4 linked regions of the Arabidopsis thaliana genome follow. The protein of the gene in region 1 interacts with the protein of each later gene in a pairwise test. Each region holds a gene or a part of one and is shown in the gene's direction. Other genes may lie near its edges. The genes, in order: NF-YC5, NF-YB5, NF-YB6 and LEC1.

Region 1 (4,075 bases):
GAAGTTGAAATATTCCAAGATAGTGACCAGTTTGCATAAAGAGCCAAAATATTGCATTTTTTAGGATATATGTGCATTATCCTTTGTTACCTATTGTCCACATCAACTCTATGTGAGAACGAGTTGAGAGAGTCGTTGCTTATATGTTTCCCAATTGAGAAGCATCCACTCATCCTGTAATACCCTGAATCAATCTACTTCTTCAATAAACCCACATATCCATTTTTCTCACCACTAAGCCAATATATACTCAACTTGAAAGGTTCTTGAGAGACAACCTTATGGACCAATGCATACCACCGTCGCCATCAAAATCTAAGGACATACCCAAGGAAAGAACTATTCAGGTTCTCACATCAAGTTGCTTTTCAGTTGCTTATAGGTAAAGGAGGTGAAAATGATCCAGAAGGTCATCCATTTCCATTTTGCTCTTCCTTTTGCTCTTTCTTTCCGCTATTGATCATCCTTTTCCATCTTATCTTCGTCAAAATAGTGCCACAAGATCTTTCAAAATAGACAAATTGATTGGAAAATTAAAATTCCTAAAATTGCAACAATATAAGTTCTAATTTTGTAACAATGCTGAAACAATTTCTCCAAATATTTTTTTTTGTATAAATGTTACATTTAGTCATCAAAAAAACCATGTTTACATTATACGCAACCTTGTTCTTTGAGAGTAGACCATAACTATTTTAGAAGATAGATAATGGTTGAACAAAAATAGAAAAATAAAACCCACAACTAGATTTTTTATTTTTTTTTGTTAATTCCCACCACTAGATTTTGTACGACGAATATTTTAACATAGACACTACCTAATACTTAAAGCAACTAATATAGAACAGGTAATGAAATTCAACAATACCAAAAAGATGATTGAGGAACGGAGATTGACGGTGCTTAACAGAGTCGAGAGCTTTGATGATCTCTCCTTTATAACTCAAACATCTCCTCGTAGTGCGAGGGTTTAATGACGATTAGAGTCGCATGAGAAAATTGTTATCTCTTTTCATTGGCAACACTCAAAATCAAAAGCCGAACGAATACTAGTCTTGTGTTACACTCTCAGACCCAAACAAAAGAAGAAGAGAGAAGAGAGGAATTTTGATGTTTGTGATCTTATGAAGAGAAGGAGAAGACAATGACTTGACTTACATAGCCCAAGCTCAACGTATATATATTCATGAGGTGATCTCACCTTAACGAAAATTTATGAGATTTTGATTCTCACAACAATGTCAAAAACGTTTTCTGACCTTAATTGTCATAACTGATTTTTTGTTGTTGTTACAAAACTCTATCATTAAGGTAGATATTTTTTATTGGTTGTAAGCCCATTTCCCAACTCTCAAATCTCAAACCCAACCCATGTATGTTTGGATTTCTCCTCTTACTTACTGTATATTATATACCAAGGCAGCTATTTTGGACCTTCATTTCTCATTCAAATGATAACTTCATTTTTGACATTCCAATGCACCACCACGGTCCGCGTAGTGCTTGCAACAATGATTCTATTGTGCCGAAAAACCGGTCATTCCGATGAACGTCTTCACCGGAAAAGTGGCCACAACCACTTCATCAAAAACAAGTTCCAACACCCGCGCAAAGCTTCCTGCATGAGTTGTTTGTTTAGGAGTAGTACTCTTTTAACAAGTTTTATGGATTCCTTATCTAAGACTTCGAGATCTGATCTTAAGGGGAAACGATATCTTTGGTTTTTGAATTTCAAGATTGATATTTATCGAACTTTGTGCAAAAACCATCTATCTCTTTCCACCATTTATGTTTTCGAACCAATGCACTTCAAAGCCTATTTGGGAAAATCTCAAGTCTATAGATGTGATAAGACTTGAGATTTCGCCAAATAGGCTTTGAAGTGCATTGGTTCGAAAGGCTACGAGTATAATCAAACTGAGTATTGAAAGGTGTGTTTCCTCTTCTCCACACAAGAGTTTTGGTGCTACTGAGGAGTGATGAAACTGATAATGTGGTTATGGAGGAGTAATGCAGTAATATCTTGAAGAAGGAGGCGCCAAAATAAAACGGCTACTCTTGTTTAACTCCAAACTGTTCACTTTTTGGAACAATCCAACTCCAAACTGGTCACTTTTTATTTAAATTTAATATTTTGTTTGACAAAATTTACTAACATATTTATTAATGATCTCTCTTTTATTTTGCAGTTAAACATCAAAATGTGAGATTCTCTCTTGAGTGTCTACCTCCTCATGTTAACAAATCAAATAATTAGAGAAATAACCAAAATTTAACTTTTAGAGGGACTACAGGATTTGTACTTTGTACATTCATATATTATTGTTATATATCGTTTCATACATTAATTTGAACCAATGTAAATTAAGTAAAATTCAATTTAACATCATGAGCAAATTCTTATTAAAATTCTCTTAAAATTTTGAGCAAATTATGCTTTCACATTTAACATTTGAAAACATCATTTTTAACAAGATATTCAAAACTAAGTTTTGTACAGCAAAATTTTAACTTTCAATTTTATAGAGAAAAAGGTATTTTTTTTTTTGTTTCATTTTTATAAGACTATTATTTGGTATATAATATACACTTTAAGTAAAAACAAATCTCTTTCTTTTTTCTTCTTATAATACCAACCACAAGTCTGTCAGTCACACACATACAGTTAATAACATTAAATATTCTTAACAAACTACTAAATAGGTTGAGATTCATATATGTAAAGAGATCACTTCTTAATCTTATCCTACCATATCTTATATACGCTTAATTTTCCTTTATATATGCAAACCTCCACATAAAAATATCTCAAACCCAAACACTTCAAACAAAAAAAAAATGGAGAACAACAACAACAACCACCAACAGCCACCGAAAGATAACGAGCAACTAAAGAGTTTCTGGTCAAAGGGGATGGAAGGTGACTTGAATGTCAAGAATCACGAGTTCCCCATCTCTCGTATCAAGAGGATAATGAAGTTTGATCCGGATGTGAGTATGATCGCTGCTGAGGCTCCAAATCTCTTATCTAAGGCTTGTGAAATGTTTGTCATGGACCTCACGATGCGTTCATGGCTCCATGCTCAAGAGAGCAACCGACTCACGATACGGAAATCTGATGTTGATGCCGTAGTGTCTCAAACCGTCATCTTTGATTTCTTGCGTGATGATGTCCCTAAGGACGAGGGAGAGCCCGTTGTCGCCGCTGCTGATCCTGTGGACGATGTTGCTGATCATGTGGCTGTGCCAGATCTTAACAATGAAGAACTGCCGCCGGGAACGGTGATAGGAACTCCGGTTTGTTACGGTTTAGGAATACACGCGCCACACCCGCAGATGCCTGGAGCTTGGACCGAGGAGGATGCGACTGGGGCAAATGGAGGAAACGGTGGGAATTAATATTTGGATTGGGTTTTGTAACCGCTGTTGTGAGAACTTGAATTTCTTTTTGAGTTCTGCTTATGTTTTCAATGTTATGTTTTTTAGTTGTTGAATGTATTTCTGTTGTTTTGTCCAAAAAAAAAAAAGAATGTATTTCTGTTGTTGTCTTTCAAATGAATCTAATGGTTTATGAATATTGGCTTTAGATTAATTTATGCATACAAAAACACAAGGATTACGGATAAAAAAGTCCTCAGTTTACCCATGGAAACATAATCTTCTAGTGATTCCTTATGAGAGTAGAAAAGAATCATATATTATAATCTATTTCATAAGAGATAGGGTACTGTAAACAAGGATGTTTATTCGGCTATTTCTTTTTTTTTTAATCACTTTTACTTGTCAAGACTCTTTTGTGTTTGCAGCTTTTTGTTAGATTACATTCTAGAGGCAACAAGATCCAGAGATCTAGCAAAAAAAACTTATTTTGAAACCTGAATCTATTTTAAAAATTTTCCAACTCATTTTTCGTTCTTATTCTTTGTTTTCCAACGGAATTTGGCGCACAAACGATTTATTTGAATTTTGTCTTTCAAGAAATTTTAGCGCGGTTTTAGCGAACTCTTATGAGGAAGTTATTAATTGAATTATTTTTGTTTTTGTTTTTTCTAATTATCATTTCTATATATTTCTC
Region 2 (4,022 bases), on another chromosome or scaffold:
CTGAAACAATGTTTAATTCAGCATGGACCACGCACAAAGCTACTCGCACGCTTAATAGATTCACTATACTCGATCTTTACAAGTGGGCAATAAAAATGCCATCAAATATATATATATATATATATATATATATATATATATATATATATATATATATTGCTTATGCTGATCTTAGTTAATTAGATTACTATAATTGCATGACTATATATACCAGCTTTTTTATTCGACGATATGAATAAATATATGCGTTTGCGATTTAATTCAATTTAATTAAATTTATTTTATTAGACATTGGAGAATCGAAAATATATTCCTTAATAACAACTTTAAAAAATCACTAGTCGTTTCCTTTTCTATCAAGCCATACTTGAGAGGACATTTCACAAAGGTGTTATTTTATCGACCAACTTTAGGATTTAATATCTTAAATTTTGTACTATATAGATTTGTATATTCACGTTCTCATGGTTTCAACAACTAATTAATGCTTTATATGTTTTCTCCCTGAAATTCCAGCAAATACACATATTATATACACACAGTTTTTCATTAGTAGTAATTCTTATCTAAGTAACTAAGTAAGGCGCATCATTAGTTTTTCTACTAAACATACTTTTGGTGTAGGATTCGAAAAATAAACTTCCATATGCAACCATATGACCTAGCTAGTTTCATTATTACAACCTTAAACCGTTTGAAACCATTTATGACGAGTCAATTTCATCTTTTGATTAGGAGGTAGAGAACCAAGTTAATGAGCAAGTAATACTAATAATTACTGTTTATAATATAGAAATGCTATGAACGTCATCATGCATCGTTCAATAATTAATTAATATCTAAAGGCGTTCAACATTTGTTTATCCGTTTCAAGGTGGTCCGATCCACCATCGGTCGACACTTGTCCTCACTTTGTTAATGATTTTACATATATGTATATGTAGCTGTAATATTTAACTAATGACTTAGGTTTTTCGGGAAAACAAATAACATAAAATAATAGCCAACATATCATACTTCTAGAACACCATGCTCTCCAAAATCTTGTAAAATCCTCTATGTAATTTATAAATCTATCTTTACATTACTTCTTTAAATAATAAATGGGAATGTTTTGCTAAACAGCTCATATTATTCTCATCCATAGTAAGGCGACAAAGCTTGTAAATGTTTTCGTCTCAATATAATGCAGAATTTACATAATGCTGTATAGCCAATCAAAATAAATTAAAGTTTAAAATATAAATAGCTAGTTAACTAACTAAATCACTGTTTTGCGGATATAAACTAAATTTCGTCTAATAATTAAATACTGGTAAAAAGTAAGTAAAAACATAAAATCACATATAAGAGGAAATATATATATATATATATATATATATATTATTAATCCAACTAGTTTTGATTTGAAAGTTCATAGAATTTAAATGGTAGTTTGATTAAAGTAGGTTATATCATCGAGATTGAGTTCTAGATGGATAAGAAAAACCTAATGTGTTGACAAAATATATATATCAAAAGTGTGGTGAAACAAAAAATTATGTATTTCCTCAGTTCGAAAATATAAAATATTTTAGTTAAAAAACGATTTTTTTTTTAAAACAACATTATTAATAAGTAGTTGAAAATATAATTCAACCAAATATTATTTATAGCCTCTTCAATTTTGGCAAGCAGACTACTAATTATAGACCACAAGACGTGCTTTTATATGGTCCACGAGTTCGATATTATCGTTTATTAAAGTGACTAGCTCTTAAGGAGGAATGTGGAATAATTGAATAATTTTTGGTTGAGGAGAGTTTCCAGACTAACTGGAGTGTGGAGTCAATCCACAGATAGACGGTATTGACTTAAGCAGGAGGACCAAAACTTCCTTTTTAGGGTAACATCAAGTACGTCATCAACCCCAAACTATTTTCGCCTTCACGTACGTTGAGGATATCATATCATATTCATTCCCAAAGGCGAGATAATTCACTACTAAAGGAATGATATATGTGTTATATATTCTTAACACATTTCAACATTATTTTGTTTGCAACACATCTTATTCTATGATTACATTTTAATTGTTTTAACTCAACCAAAAGGGTTTAGGAGAAAATAATTAGAAGAAAATTGAGAGAGAGAGAAATTAGCTAGACCTGCCACATTGTCTCCCCTGTGACCTAGACCACTCTCATTGGTTTGTATGACACGTCACCACCATTCTCTGACCAGACAAACATAGATAGATACTCCTTAATTAGCTCTCTTGCCTTTCTACTTATATATAAAGCTAATTTAACTACACAAATCTCTCTGTCAAAACGAATATTTTTTTAGATGTATACATAATAAACACATTTATGTTAAAACCTCTCCTTTTTCTGTGTGCCATATAGTTTGGCAAATTACATATCTTCGTTCTATATCATCATTCGTTGTTGTGAATCATACTGAAACGAACCCCTCACCAAACAAGATTTATAGATCCTCTGCTTTAATTATAAGATTCTGATGGCGGGGAATTATCATTCGTTCCAAAATCCAATCCCTCGATACCAGAATTACAACTTCGGGAGCAGCTCATCTAATCATCAACATGAACATGATGGGTTAGTGGTGGTGGTGGAGGATCAACAGCAAGAAGAAAGCATGATGGTAAAAGAACAAGACAGGCTACTTCCGATAGCAAACGTAGGAAGGATCATGAAGAACATCCTCCCAGCAAACGCAAAGGTCTCTAAAGAAGCCAAAGAGACTATGCAAGAATGTGTGTCCGAGTTCATTAGCTTCGTCACGGGAGAAGCATCCGATAAATGCCACAAGGAGAAGCGAAAGACCGTTAATGGAGACGATATCTGTTGGGCTATGGCTAATCTAGGGTTTGATGATTACGCCGCCCAGCTCAAGAAGTACTTACATCGTTACCGAGTTCTCGAAGGTGAGAAACCTAATCATCACGGCAAAGGAGGACCTAAATCCTCGCCAGATAATTAAAATTCTTCCATCGCTTTTTGATTTTCCTTGATTAATCTCCATGTCATCATCTTCCTCTTTAGGACCAGCTATCTTTTTCTATCTTCTCATATATTGTTCTACATATATAAATAAATTTTATGTATATGATGATATAACATGTATGTGGTGTGAGGTACTGAACAAATCTGTGTTAATTCTTCCAGCTGATTTTGTTATTTTCTATATTTTTATTTATTTACATATATTGGAGTGGAGATCGATCGATGTGTATATTATGAACCATTTTCGGGATTTTCTTTTGGTTGCTTCATTAATGCTTTTTAAACAATTTATTCAGATTTAATTAATTTTCGACTGGTATAATTAAATAAAATTAAATCGAGCATCATACAACAACACAAGTCCTGCCACAACCAACCAAACCGGTTTTTAACTGTTTACCATCTAACTTTTAAAACCGTCAATCATGAAGATGAACTAATATATCATCAACTTTGTAGATTAATTTCGACAGTGAGGATATATACTACCATGTCCCTTTCCTCTGATCTAGACTACTTAACCCTCTATATATAAGAAATCAACTTTGCAATTTCGTAGTTTGTGGAATTCTTATTCAGTTAAATCAATTGATTTCTTTCGACAAAAAGCGAAACTTAGTCGACTTTCAGTATTTAGATATATTTTTAGATTATGGCATTTGCATATAGATTATTCGCATTCATTTATCCACACTAAAATGCTAGCTATTCCGTACACATCATATAGAAAAATAAAATTTACTACTTCGATATTGTTTTCTTTAAAGCCTAATTGATATTTAGACCTTATGTCGATATAGATTAATTCTATTTTCGACGTGATTCACTTTCTAAACAGTATATAGTACTAAGAAATAAAAATGGGCTAAATTGATTAGTTAAGAGCGAGTGGTCCATAAATCCAGATCAGTTCTCACATGTTATTTACTAACACAAGATCCCTGGACCTTCCACATAAAGAAAGTTATACATGTCTGACTCACGCTAATAACGTATACTTTTTACTCCAAATTT
Region 3 (4,734 bases), 1.2 Mb from region 1:
GCAAGTCATCATTACGAGAGAAGAAAAAACAAAACTCTCAACTCAATTTACACTAAAGATTTGTCCTAAATAAGTAACAGACAAAACAAATTCTATATAAATCTGAAAGTTTTTAAATTGCTAAATAGATTGATCACTCGTTTGAAGGATTTGAGCATACAAAACCTGTTTTTTCACTTTGCGGTTCCCTTTCTACAACGTATGATGAGTGAAATAATAATAAAACAAGGAAGTAATCTATTTTTCTTCTAAAATATGTCAATAAAGGCCAAAGAAAATATTCTGTTACTGTATATTTCTATCACAAGAACATAAAAACTTCAATATTTTCTGTTTAAGAAGGTTAAGGTCAAAGGTTAATACGTACGTGGAATAGTTTCTCTGGATTGTTTGTGTTGTGACACCTACGCTTGATAGAGAAATTACCAATGATTTTCTTCTAATTTTTCTCAGATTCCCAATCTTAATATGGATTATGGATTATGATATAAAATATGTCGGTATCTCCGCGGCTTTCGCTGAGCCACACGGGGCTAAAGTGTTTTTTGCCTTTACACAAAACTGGTGTAGATACAAATTACAGAACATATTCAGCTCAGGTGGGCTCGGGTCGGGTCATATAACGACGGGTAAGAAAACGACTGAAGTGAAGTGAGGATAAAATGGAGGTTATGTTACTCCTTTGAGGGTATAAAGGTAAATATAGAGTTTTTTACCCTTTGAATTGCTTTTACTTTGGGCAGTCTCTTCTGGATTTCACGCCGCCCATTTTATTTTTTTTACCTTTTCCCGAAATGGAACTTCTCGCCGGCGACTGTCGGAAACGAGTCGGCGACGACTTTGAGGAAGATATTAACCCATTCGATGGTTCGGACGGTGGTTGCGGGTGGATGTACGGTACCCGTCAAATGGGTTCTAACGGAAACGACGACGCTTTGGCTACGCTCGCAGACTTGGCTTCGCCTCCTCAGAAATTGAAACCTATAAGGTGTGGCGTTAAGCTTCCGTCGTCGTCGGAGGATCGACATCCTCTTGATATTCTCGCCGGAACCCTAGATAGGCTGCCGGAGATGGGTTTTGGCTGCTTCGAAGCTCCTTTGGGATCGAAGATTGCTGACGTGGAGGAAAGTGGTCAATTGACTCGTGGGTTTTCAAAGGAAGAGGATGATTCTCTTCCTCCTCTTCAAATGGAGTTTCAAGCTCGAAATCGCATCTCTTGGGATGGTCTCTCTCTCAGGTATAAATCTCACCATTAAAAATGTGAGCTTTTTGTTCAACTTTGGATCTGTTACTGTGAAAAGTTGTTACTTTTTTTCTGTATTATTAAGAGTCTAATTTTTTTTCACGTTTATTAGAAGCTTGTTTGGTAGAGACCTCCTAAACACATTCTCTTCCTCTTGATATATTTGAGCTTTGCGGTATCATTTGATTCTAGATTGGTTGACTGGTGCATCACTGAACACTCTCAGCTTAAAGCATTAAACTTTGCAGATATCAATCAGATTGGTGTGCCGTCATTACAAGCTTTTACAGTGTTGGTTTATACCACTTCTAAGCAGTGTTTGTCTATATATTCTGCGGAACTTTTGGATTATTAGTTCTTAGATAGTGTAACCATGTTGGAAGCTTTGAGTTTTTGATAAGTACTTTCCAATTTTTGATTTTGCAGCTCCTCTGTTGATAGCAGCGATAGTGACTCATCTCCAGACGTTCGCAAGACCGTCACGGGTAAAAGAAAGCGGGAAACAAGGGTAAAGCTGGAGCATTTCTTGGAGAAGCTTGTGGGGAGTATGATGAAGCGGCAGGAGAAGATGCATAATCAGTTGATTAATGTGATGGAGAAGATGGAAGTGGAGAGAATACGCCGTGAGGAAGCTTGGAGGCAACAGGAAACCGAGAGGATGACACAGAATGAAGAAGCACGGAAGCAAGAGATGGCACGCAACTTGTCTCTCATCTCTTTCATCAGAAGTGTTACTGGTGACGAGATCGAGATCCCTAAACAGTGTGAATTCCCGCAACCACTCCAGCAGATTCTTCCGGAACAATGTAAAGACGAGAAATGTGAATCCGCTCAGAGAGAAAGAGAGATAAAGTTTAGGTACTCAAGCGGCAGTGGCAGCAGTGGTAGAAGGTGGCCGCAAGAGGAAGTGCAGGCATTGATAAGTTCGAGAAGCGATGTGGAAGAGAAGACGGGGATCAACAAGGGAGCGATTTGGGATGAGATATCAGCAAGAATGAAAGAAAGAGGGTACGAAAGATCTGCGAAAAAGTGTAAGGAGAAGTGGGAGAACATGAACAAGTACTATAGGAGAGTGACGGAAGGTGGGCAGAAACAGCCTGAGCACAGCAAGACTCGCTCATACTTTGAGAAACTTGGAAATTTTTACAAGACCATTTCCTCGGGAGAGAGGGAAAAATGAGTGAAAGATTTTAAATTTAGGTGTTTTTGGCACGCAAAACGGGAGAACTTGTAGATGATTACCTCGAGTTTAATTTTTATATCTTTGGTGTAGTTTATAATTTAAAACTCTACGGCTCTGTATTTGTAGAAGGTTCGAATAAAAAAGACAAATACGTTGGGGTGATTGGGATTTTGTAACGGCTAAGGGAGACGAGGAGAAGGATCCTCGGTCACATCGATTATGGCTGCCACGTTGTTGAACTTGTGAGGTCTGAAATTACAAATGCTGACACTTGCCAACACTATTAGCTTTATTCCAATTACTCTTTCTTCTCTCTCATTCCATTCTCTTCTTCAAATGCTTCTTAATTTCGGGCATTGGTTATTATTATTTATAGGGATATTCACAAACACAAAAGTCGTGTATTTAGAACAAGAAAGATATGGAACGTGGAGGCTTCCATGGCTACCGCAAGCTGTCCGTGAACAACACCACTCCTTCTCCACCAGGTAGTGCCATTCTCTATACCCCCTCTTTTCACAGGCTCTCTTCATTTCAGTTGCATGCGAAACCATTCTCTGCAATCCCTCCATTGTCATGTCTGTACTCTTTTCATGACGAACAGTTAATGAAATAGCTTTTCAATCTTATAAACCGCGCATGCAGACGTCATCGAAGCCATTATGCACTAAAACTTCCATTTTTCTTATTTTTGTTAGGATTAGCAGCGAATTTTCTGATGGCAGAGGGCAGTATGCGTCCTCCAGAATTCAACCAGCCTAACAAAACCAGTAATGGTGGTGAGGAGGAGTGCACGGTGAGGGAGCAAGACAGGTTCATGCCTATTGCCAACGTGATACGGATCATGCGGAGGATCTTACCTGCTCACGCCAAGATCTCAGATGACTCCAAGGAGACGATCCAAGAGTGTGTTTCGGAGTACATCAGCTTCATAACAGGGGAGGCTAATGAGCGGTGCCAGCGGGAACAGCGCAAGACCATCACTGCTGAGGACGTCTTGTGGGCAATGAGCAAGCTCGGTTTTGATGACTACATCGAACCCCTCACGTTGTACCTCCACCGCTACAGAGAGTTGGAAGGTGAAAGAGGGGTTAGCTGCAGTGCTGGGTCCGTTAGTATGACCAACGGCTTGGTGGTCAAGAGGCCTAATGGGACCATGACCGAGTATGGAGCCTACGGGCCTGTGCCAGGGATTCACATGGCGCAGTACCATTATCGTCATCAGAACGGGTTTGTTTTCAGTGGTAACGAACCTAATTCTAAGATGAGTGGTTCATCTTCAGGAGCAAGTGGCGCCAGAGTTGAAGTATTTCCGACTCAACAACATAAGTACTGAGAACAATGGCTAATAACATAGACAGCTGACAGAGTCATAACTGTTAGTAGGTGCAAGCTGTAGCTTATGAATTCAAGTTTAAGCGAAAACAATGCTGCTTTTTCTTTGTTTATTATCTATCTAGTTGAAAGAACATTGTGTTTTTCATCTGATCTGTCTTGTGGTAAAGTATGTCAATAAAGCATTAGTTTTGCAAACCGCATGCATGTGATATTACAAAATTCACGGTGAATTCGTAATGCGTCTTGGTTCAAAATAGAAAGAGACTAAACATTCCAGATTTCAATTCTCAGCTACAGAAATGAGTGTTTAACGGATACAGAAACAACTCTCACAATCTTCATTCATTTCATTTAGCTACTACTTTCCAAAGGAACTTCAACGCATACCTTTTTCCTCTCCAGAAGATCATGTTTGTCTGCACTCTCGTTTGCCTCAGTATCTTTCTCCTGATGCTCTTCAGATATATGTTCCAATTTCGAACAATCAACAGGATCAAGTCCGGTTCTTTTCCTCTGAGGAATCACAGTGAAGAAGGCTGTTTTCCAGTCCCTAGTCTCCAGAAACTTGACGAGTATCTCCAAAACTTGGTTCACAGTGAGAACCTAAATCAATAAAAACCACAAATCTTACATTAACAAAGTACATAAAGTAGAGGTTTTTTGTGTTGTGCCCAATGAGACAAGAATTGAAGTGGCCATTTAGTTACCTGAGAACTTGACATTTTCATATACTCTCCTATGGGAAGCTTAGCTGTTTTAATGCCTTGTTCTTGAGCCTTGGTCATGGTGATCCCTTTGAACCGGTTTCGATCCACTAAGCCACCGATAATGTAGATATGCTTAGGGTCAAGATCATCCAAAACAGTTTCAGAATCAGCCGTAAGATACACCAAATTATCTTTCTGATCAGCCATGGCTTCAATGTAACACCTACTTTCCTTTTCAATGAACCATTTCTCAAAACCAGGAA
Region 4 (5,358 bases), on another chromosome or scaffold:
TAGGCATGTCCACAAAAGGGTAAGTTTTACTGGTTCAAAATATTGCATGAGTACTACTAAGCTCGTATAGTTTGATCCTACTATCATTGCGATGAGGGTTGTTAGTTTGGAAGAAATAAGGATTTATGCAAATGGTAATCATTATGTCTGCTATTTAAGAAGTAAATTATGATGCTTGTTGCGTGAACATATTAAATTTGCGAAAAATAAGCAAGGATACACGAGAGAAGCTCAGATATTCACGTAACGATGTTTCTTCTCTTCTCATTGAGGTAACATATGGCCATGATATAGCTATTAAGCCTACGGGATTGTCATTTCAACGCCGGATCTACCAAACTGTTCCATCTCTTATTATATATAGTTTGGTTATTTAAGTAATTAGATGCATCATAATCTTTTTTTCTGCCAGTTGTAATGCAGATAAAAATATATTGGTTGTTCTAAGGATTGTTCAAACGTGCATGTGTACAAGTTATTATTTATATACTTTCATCTACATGCGATGCGTTATTTATAATGATATAACTAAGATTTTTAGTTAAATTTAATAAAGAGCTTACGAGCTACAATTAATTAGAAATGGTTGCTCAGAAATCAGAATACTATATATGAAAAAAGAAGTTGGTATACTTGAAAAAAGAAAAAACTACTTGAAAAGATGGTAAAAGATATAGAACGAGTATATATCTTACTCAAGCACGATAGAAGTTTGTATCAAAACATTGCGTTCCAAACCAATGTTTGAAGATGGTCAAAGGTGCTACTCATGATGTATGCGAAGAAGCTTACAAAAAATTCTGCAATGAGAGATAACTTTATGGGCTGCTTGTTCAATATATTGAAAATCATGGTAGACAACACCAAACTCTCCTTTACCAGAAGTCATATTTCCTTAACCTCAGAATAAGTAAATCTTCTAGTTTATTATTTGAAAGTTGAGCGTATAATTGCAATGAAACTTTTACCAATTCACCGCCTCCTAACTGAGTTGTTGTATTATCCTATCTCTTTAGCTATCCTTTCCTTGCTCTTGCTCCACCTGCATGTGGCCTCTTTATTTATAATCTCTCTAGATTCTGCTAAAGATGTATGTTCAAAATGGTTTATCTTTAAGGGAAGCAAAGTGAATGGAAACATTTAAAGAAAAAAAAAACTTTTAGCAGAGTTCCATGAGATTTCATACTGATGATAACTAAAATAATCTTATATGCGTAAGATTATTTTAGTTCTAAACTTCATTTTGAAATGAGAGGTCATTGGCCAGGAAAGATTCAATATTGGTTCTTTGTTAATTCTCGTTGGTTTGTTTTTAGTATGGGCTAGATCCAAAACAGGTCATGGACTGGGCCGTAAACTCTATCCAAAATTCTTCATGTTTTTCCATCTTTCAAAAATCTTTATCCACCATTCCATTACTAGGGTGTTGGTTTTATTTTATTTGTTGATTAATTATGTATTAGAAAATGTAAAGCAATATTCAATTGTAACATGCATCATCTAACACCAATATCTTGTACTAACCTTTTGTAATTTTCCTATAAACACTTTAAAAGGCTAATTTAAATAAAAATTACAATAAACGTGATAACTCACTTTCGTAACGCATATTTATTCAAATATACCAAAATTTACCATTTTAAGTAAGAGAATCTTTTTAAAACTAATTTTCAATTTCATTAATTAAGAAACAAAGAATTTAGTGAAACCTATATTTTATTAAATTTTAATAAAATATATGACTAAAATAACGTCACGTCAATCTTTCTCAGCCGTTCGATAATCGAATACTTTATTGACTAAATAAATAGAAAATGTTAAACAACATTTAATTTATATAAACAAAGAGAGCCTCATATGTATAAAAATCTTCTTCTTATCTTTCTTTCTTTCTTAATAGTCTTTATTTTTACTTAATTACTTTGGTAATTTGTGAAAAAAAACAACCAATGAGAGAAGAGCAGTTTGACTGGCCACATAGCCAATGAGACAAGCCAATGGGAAAGAGATATAGACCTCGTAAGAACCGCCTCCTTTGCCATTTGTATCATCTCTCTATAAAACCACTCAACCATCAACCTCTCTTTGCATGCAACAAATCACTCAAATAATTATTTTATAAAGAACAAAAAAAAAAAAAGACGGCAGAGAAACAATGGAACGTGGAGCTCCCTTCTCTCACTATCAGCTACCAAAATCCATCTCTGGTAATCTAAGTGGCTATTTTTATACAGTATATACTTGCCTCCATGTATATTTATATGCTCATGAAAAATTGGAGACATGCTTTATGAATTTTATGAGACTTTGCAACAACGAACTAAATGCTTTCTTTCTAGAAATTTTTAATTTAGATTTGTGAAGGTTTTGGGAATGGCCCGGAGAAGACGATTTTATATACATACATGCAAGAGTTTGATATGTATTGTTTCATCATGGCTGAGTCAAAGTTTTATCCAAATATTTCCATGGTGTGGTATTAGTTAAACAAATCTCTCGTATGTGTTCATTGAATATACCCGTGCATGTACCAGGAATGTTTTTGAGTATCGTTTTCTTTCTTTTATCAAAAAAAATTTCGATTCTAAAAACGTTTTTTTCTTTGTTGTAACGGTTGAGTTTTTTTCTTCGTTTCAAAACGAGATTCTCGTTTGTCTCTTCCCTTGTCTAAAAACATCTACGGTTCATGTGATTCAAAAACACTAAAAAAATAGAAACTCAAATTTTTTTAGTACTTAACATTTAAACTATATATATATATATATATATCTTATACTAGTCCCAAGTTTTAGTGTGAGGTTTTTTTATTCAAAATCTATCAGTAATTTTTTTGGAAAAAAACTAAGTGAAATTTTCTCCAAATTTTCCTTTTACTATTGATTTTTTAATTACTGGATGTCATTAACTCCAATCTTTTGATTCTTTCAACATTTACCATTGGGAACCTTCACATGAAATAAATGTCTACTTTATTGAGTCATACCTTCGTCTACATAAATTAATTGATGTTCTTCTCCAAATTTTGAGTTTTTGGTTTTTCTAATTAATAATCTAAGCGAAAGCTTTTTGGTATACATGTAAAACGTAACGGCAAGAATCTGAACAGTCTACTCAACGGGGTCCATAAGTCTAGAATGTAGACCCCACAAACTTACTCTTATCTTATTGGTCCGTAACTAAGAACGTGTCCCTTGATTCTCTTGTTTTCTTCTAATCCATTCGTATCCTACAAATTTAATCATCATTTCTACTTCAACTAATCTTTTTTATTTCCTAAAGATTTCAATTTCTCTCTGTATTTTCTATGAACAGAATTGAACTTGGACCAGCACAGCAACAACCCAACCCCAATGACCAGCTCAGTCGTAGTAGCCGGCGCCGGTGACAAGAACAATGGTATCGTGGTCCAGCAGCAACCACCATGTGTGGCTCGTGAGCAAGACCAATACATGCCAATCGCAAACGTCATAAGAATCATGCGTAAAACCTTACCGTCTCACGCCAAAATCTCTGACGACGCCAAAGAAACGATTCAAGAATGTGTCTCCGAGTACATCAGCTTCGTGACCGGTGAAGCCAACGAGCGTTGCCAACGTGAGCAACGTAAGACCATAACTGCTGAAGATATCCTTTGGGCTATGAGCAAGCTTGGGTTCGATAACTACGTGGACCCCCTCACCGTGTTCATTAACCGGTACCGTGAGATAGAGACCGATCGTGGTTCTGCACTTAGAGGTGAGCCACCGTCGTTGAGACAAACCTATGGAGGAAATGGTATTGGGTTTCACGGCCCATCTCATGGCCTACCTCCTCCGGGTCCTTATGGTTATGGTATGTTGGACCAATCCATGGTTATGGGAGGTGGTCGGTACTACCAAAACGGGTCGTCGGGTCAAGATGAATCCAGTGTTGGTGGTGGCTCTTCGTCTTCCATTAACGGAATGCCGGCTTTTGACCATTATGGTCAGTATAAGTGAAGATGGAATTATTCTTCATTTTTATATCTGTTCAAAACATGTGTTTGGATAGATATTTTATTTTTATGTCTTATCAATAACATTTCTATATAATGTTGCTTCTTTAAGGAAAAGTGTTGTATTTCAATACTTTATGAGAAACTGATTTATATATGCAAATGATTTAACCCAAACTGTTTTGTGGATTAAACTCTATGCAACATTATATATTTACATGATCTAAAGGTTTTGTAATTCAAAAGCTGTCATAGTTAGATGATAACTAAACATTGTAGGAACCAAGTTTAATTGACTTTTTTGAGTTTTACACAACTAAGCCAAAGGATTATAAAATCTAAATTCGTTGAGTTGTCAAACTTCTGAAGATTTATATCCTCTTTGAGTTTGCTTTCTTTTGGGTGCTTGAGTTTCATTAGGGTGATCCTGACTCGTTGCTCTCTGGTTTCTCCATCTCTGTCTTTTCCAAGGATTCATAACGTTGGTCGCTCTCTGTTTCTGCCTACACTTCTTCAAGGATCATTACTAAGACTAAGAGTTAAAGACCTTAGCCATGGTTTTCTGTAACTGGTTCAAGTTCATCTCCGGTTATTGGGTGGTTATCTTTCGGTTAGATTGAAACCCATATGCTTGCTCTGTTTCTTCTAGTTCCAAGTTTAATTTCCGGTTATTGTTTGGCTTTTTAAAGTTCTTAAAGGTCTATTCTATGTAAAGACTCTTTTGAAATTTTATGGCTGAATGAAAAAAGTCCCTTTAAGTCTTTAATTTGTGTTGATGTTTAGGATACTTCGACAATCTTAAGAAAATCAAGGGCTAAAAATGAAAGCAAGTTACCAAATTACTCAAAATCTAAAAAAGTGACAAATATTTTAGCCCAATGGATTAAACTAAAATGTAGTTTCTTTTATCATTTTAGGCTATGTTTTCTTTTAAGAAAACTTTGGTAGTTAACTCTGTTTAAAAGAAAAAATAGAGATGCTTAAATTAAATTTAGTATCTAAAACTTTAGGATAAACACATTAAGCTAAAGAAATTAAATTAACAGGCGTAATGCAAGCTTGTTATGCGGTATTGAAAACACTACCTCTAAAAGTAGCCCAATATTGAAAACCTTAAGCTTCTTTGATCCCCTTAACTTGTTTGTCCACCAAGTATTAGTTCATCTCTTAACAAGGCAACTCGAAACGGCACAATGGACAAACATGGTCTTTCAAAAACCACTTCCCAATACATCCATCGTCAAACTCGTGGCCACATGGTAAGGTCACCACTATTTCTCCCTTTTCAAACTCCTCCAAACAAATTGTGCACACGCTCGCGTCAGAGTTGGATTTCTTCTTCTTATTATATACTTTCCTTGCCAAACGGTCAACCACAAGCTTAT

What was found.
Region 2: the proteins of NF-YC5 (region 1) and NF-YB5 interact in a two-hybrid assay, tested with the Arabidopsis thaliana proteins (one large-scale study listed by BioGRID).
Region 3: the proteins of NF-YC5 (region 1) and NF-YB6 interact in a two-hybrid assay, tested with the Arabidopsis thaliana proteins (one large-scale study listed by BioGRID).
Region 4: the proteins of NF-YC5 (region 1) and LEC1 interact in a two-hybrid assay, tested with the Arabidopsis thaliana proteins (one large-scale study listed by BioGRID).

The regions. Positions count from the first base shown.
Region 1 is NC_003076.8:20,559,934-20,564,008, reverse strand, and holds NF-YC5 (nuclear factor Y, subunit C5), read left to right. Parts: upstream 1-2,780; 5' UTR 2,781-2,838; coding exon 2,839-3,399; 3' UTR 3,400-3,575; downstream 3,576-4,075. Other genes in the region: AT5G50500 (uncharacterized protein), read left to right, coding at 1,452-1,859. UniProt on the Arabidopsis thaliana protein: Stimulates the transcription of various genes by recognizing and binding to a CCAAT motif in promoters.
Region 2 is NC_003071.7:19,581,901-19,585,922, reverse strand, and holds NF-YB5 (nuclear factor Y, subunit B5), read left to right. Parts: upstream 1-2,304; 5' UTR 2,305-2,502; coding exon 2,503-2,985; 3' UTR 2,986-3,265; downstream 3,266-4,022. UniProt on the Arabidopsis thaliana protein: Component of the NF-Y/HAP transcription factor complex. The NF-Y complex stimulates the transcription of various genes by recognizing and binding to a CCAAT motif in promoters.
Region 3 is NC_003076.8:19,312,214-19,316,947, forward strand, and holds NF-YB6 (nuclear factor Y, subunit B6), read left to right. Parts: upstream 1-2,564; 5' UTR 2,565-2,847; coding exon 2,848-2,914; exon of another isoform or gene 2,915-3,124; coding exon 3,125-3,762; 3' UTR 3,763-3,956; downstream 3,957-4,734. Other genes in the region: NUDT2 (nudix hydrolase homolog 2), read right to left, coding at 1-12; AT5G47660 (Homeodomain-like superfamily protein), read left to right, coding at 795-1,237, 1,670-2,423; TRM10 (tRNA (guanine(9)-N1)-methyltransferase-like protein), read right to left, coding at 4,116-4,367, 4,472-4,734. UniProt on the Arabidopsis thaliana protein: Component of the NF-Y/HAP transcription factor complex. The NF-Y complex stimulates the transcription of various genes by recognizing and binding to a CCAAT motif in promoters. Plays a role in the regulation of the embryogenesis.
Region 4 is NC_003070.9:7,726,369-7,731,726, reverse strand, and holds LEC1 (Histone superfamily protein), read left to right. Parts: upstream 1-2,077; 5' UTR 2,078-2,155; coding exon 2,156-2,207; intron 2,208-3,312; coding exon 3,313-3,977; 3' UTR 3,978-4,150; downstream 4,151-5,358. Other genes in the region: AT1G21960 (RING/U-box superfamily protein), read right to left, coding at 5,141-5,358. UniProt on the Arabidopsis thaliana protein: Component of the NF-Y/HAP transcription factor complex. The NF-Y complex stimulates the transcription of various genes by recognizing and binding to a CCAAT motif in promoters. Acts as a central regulator of the embryogenesis.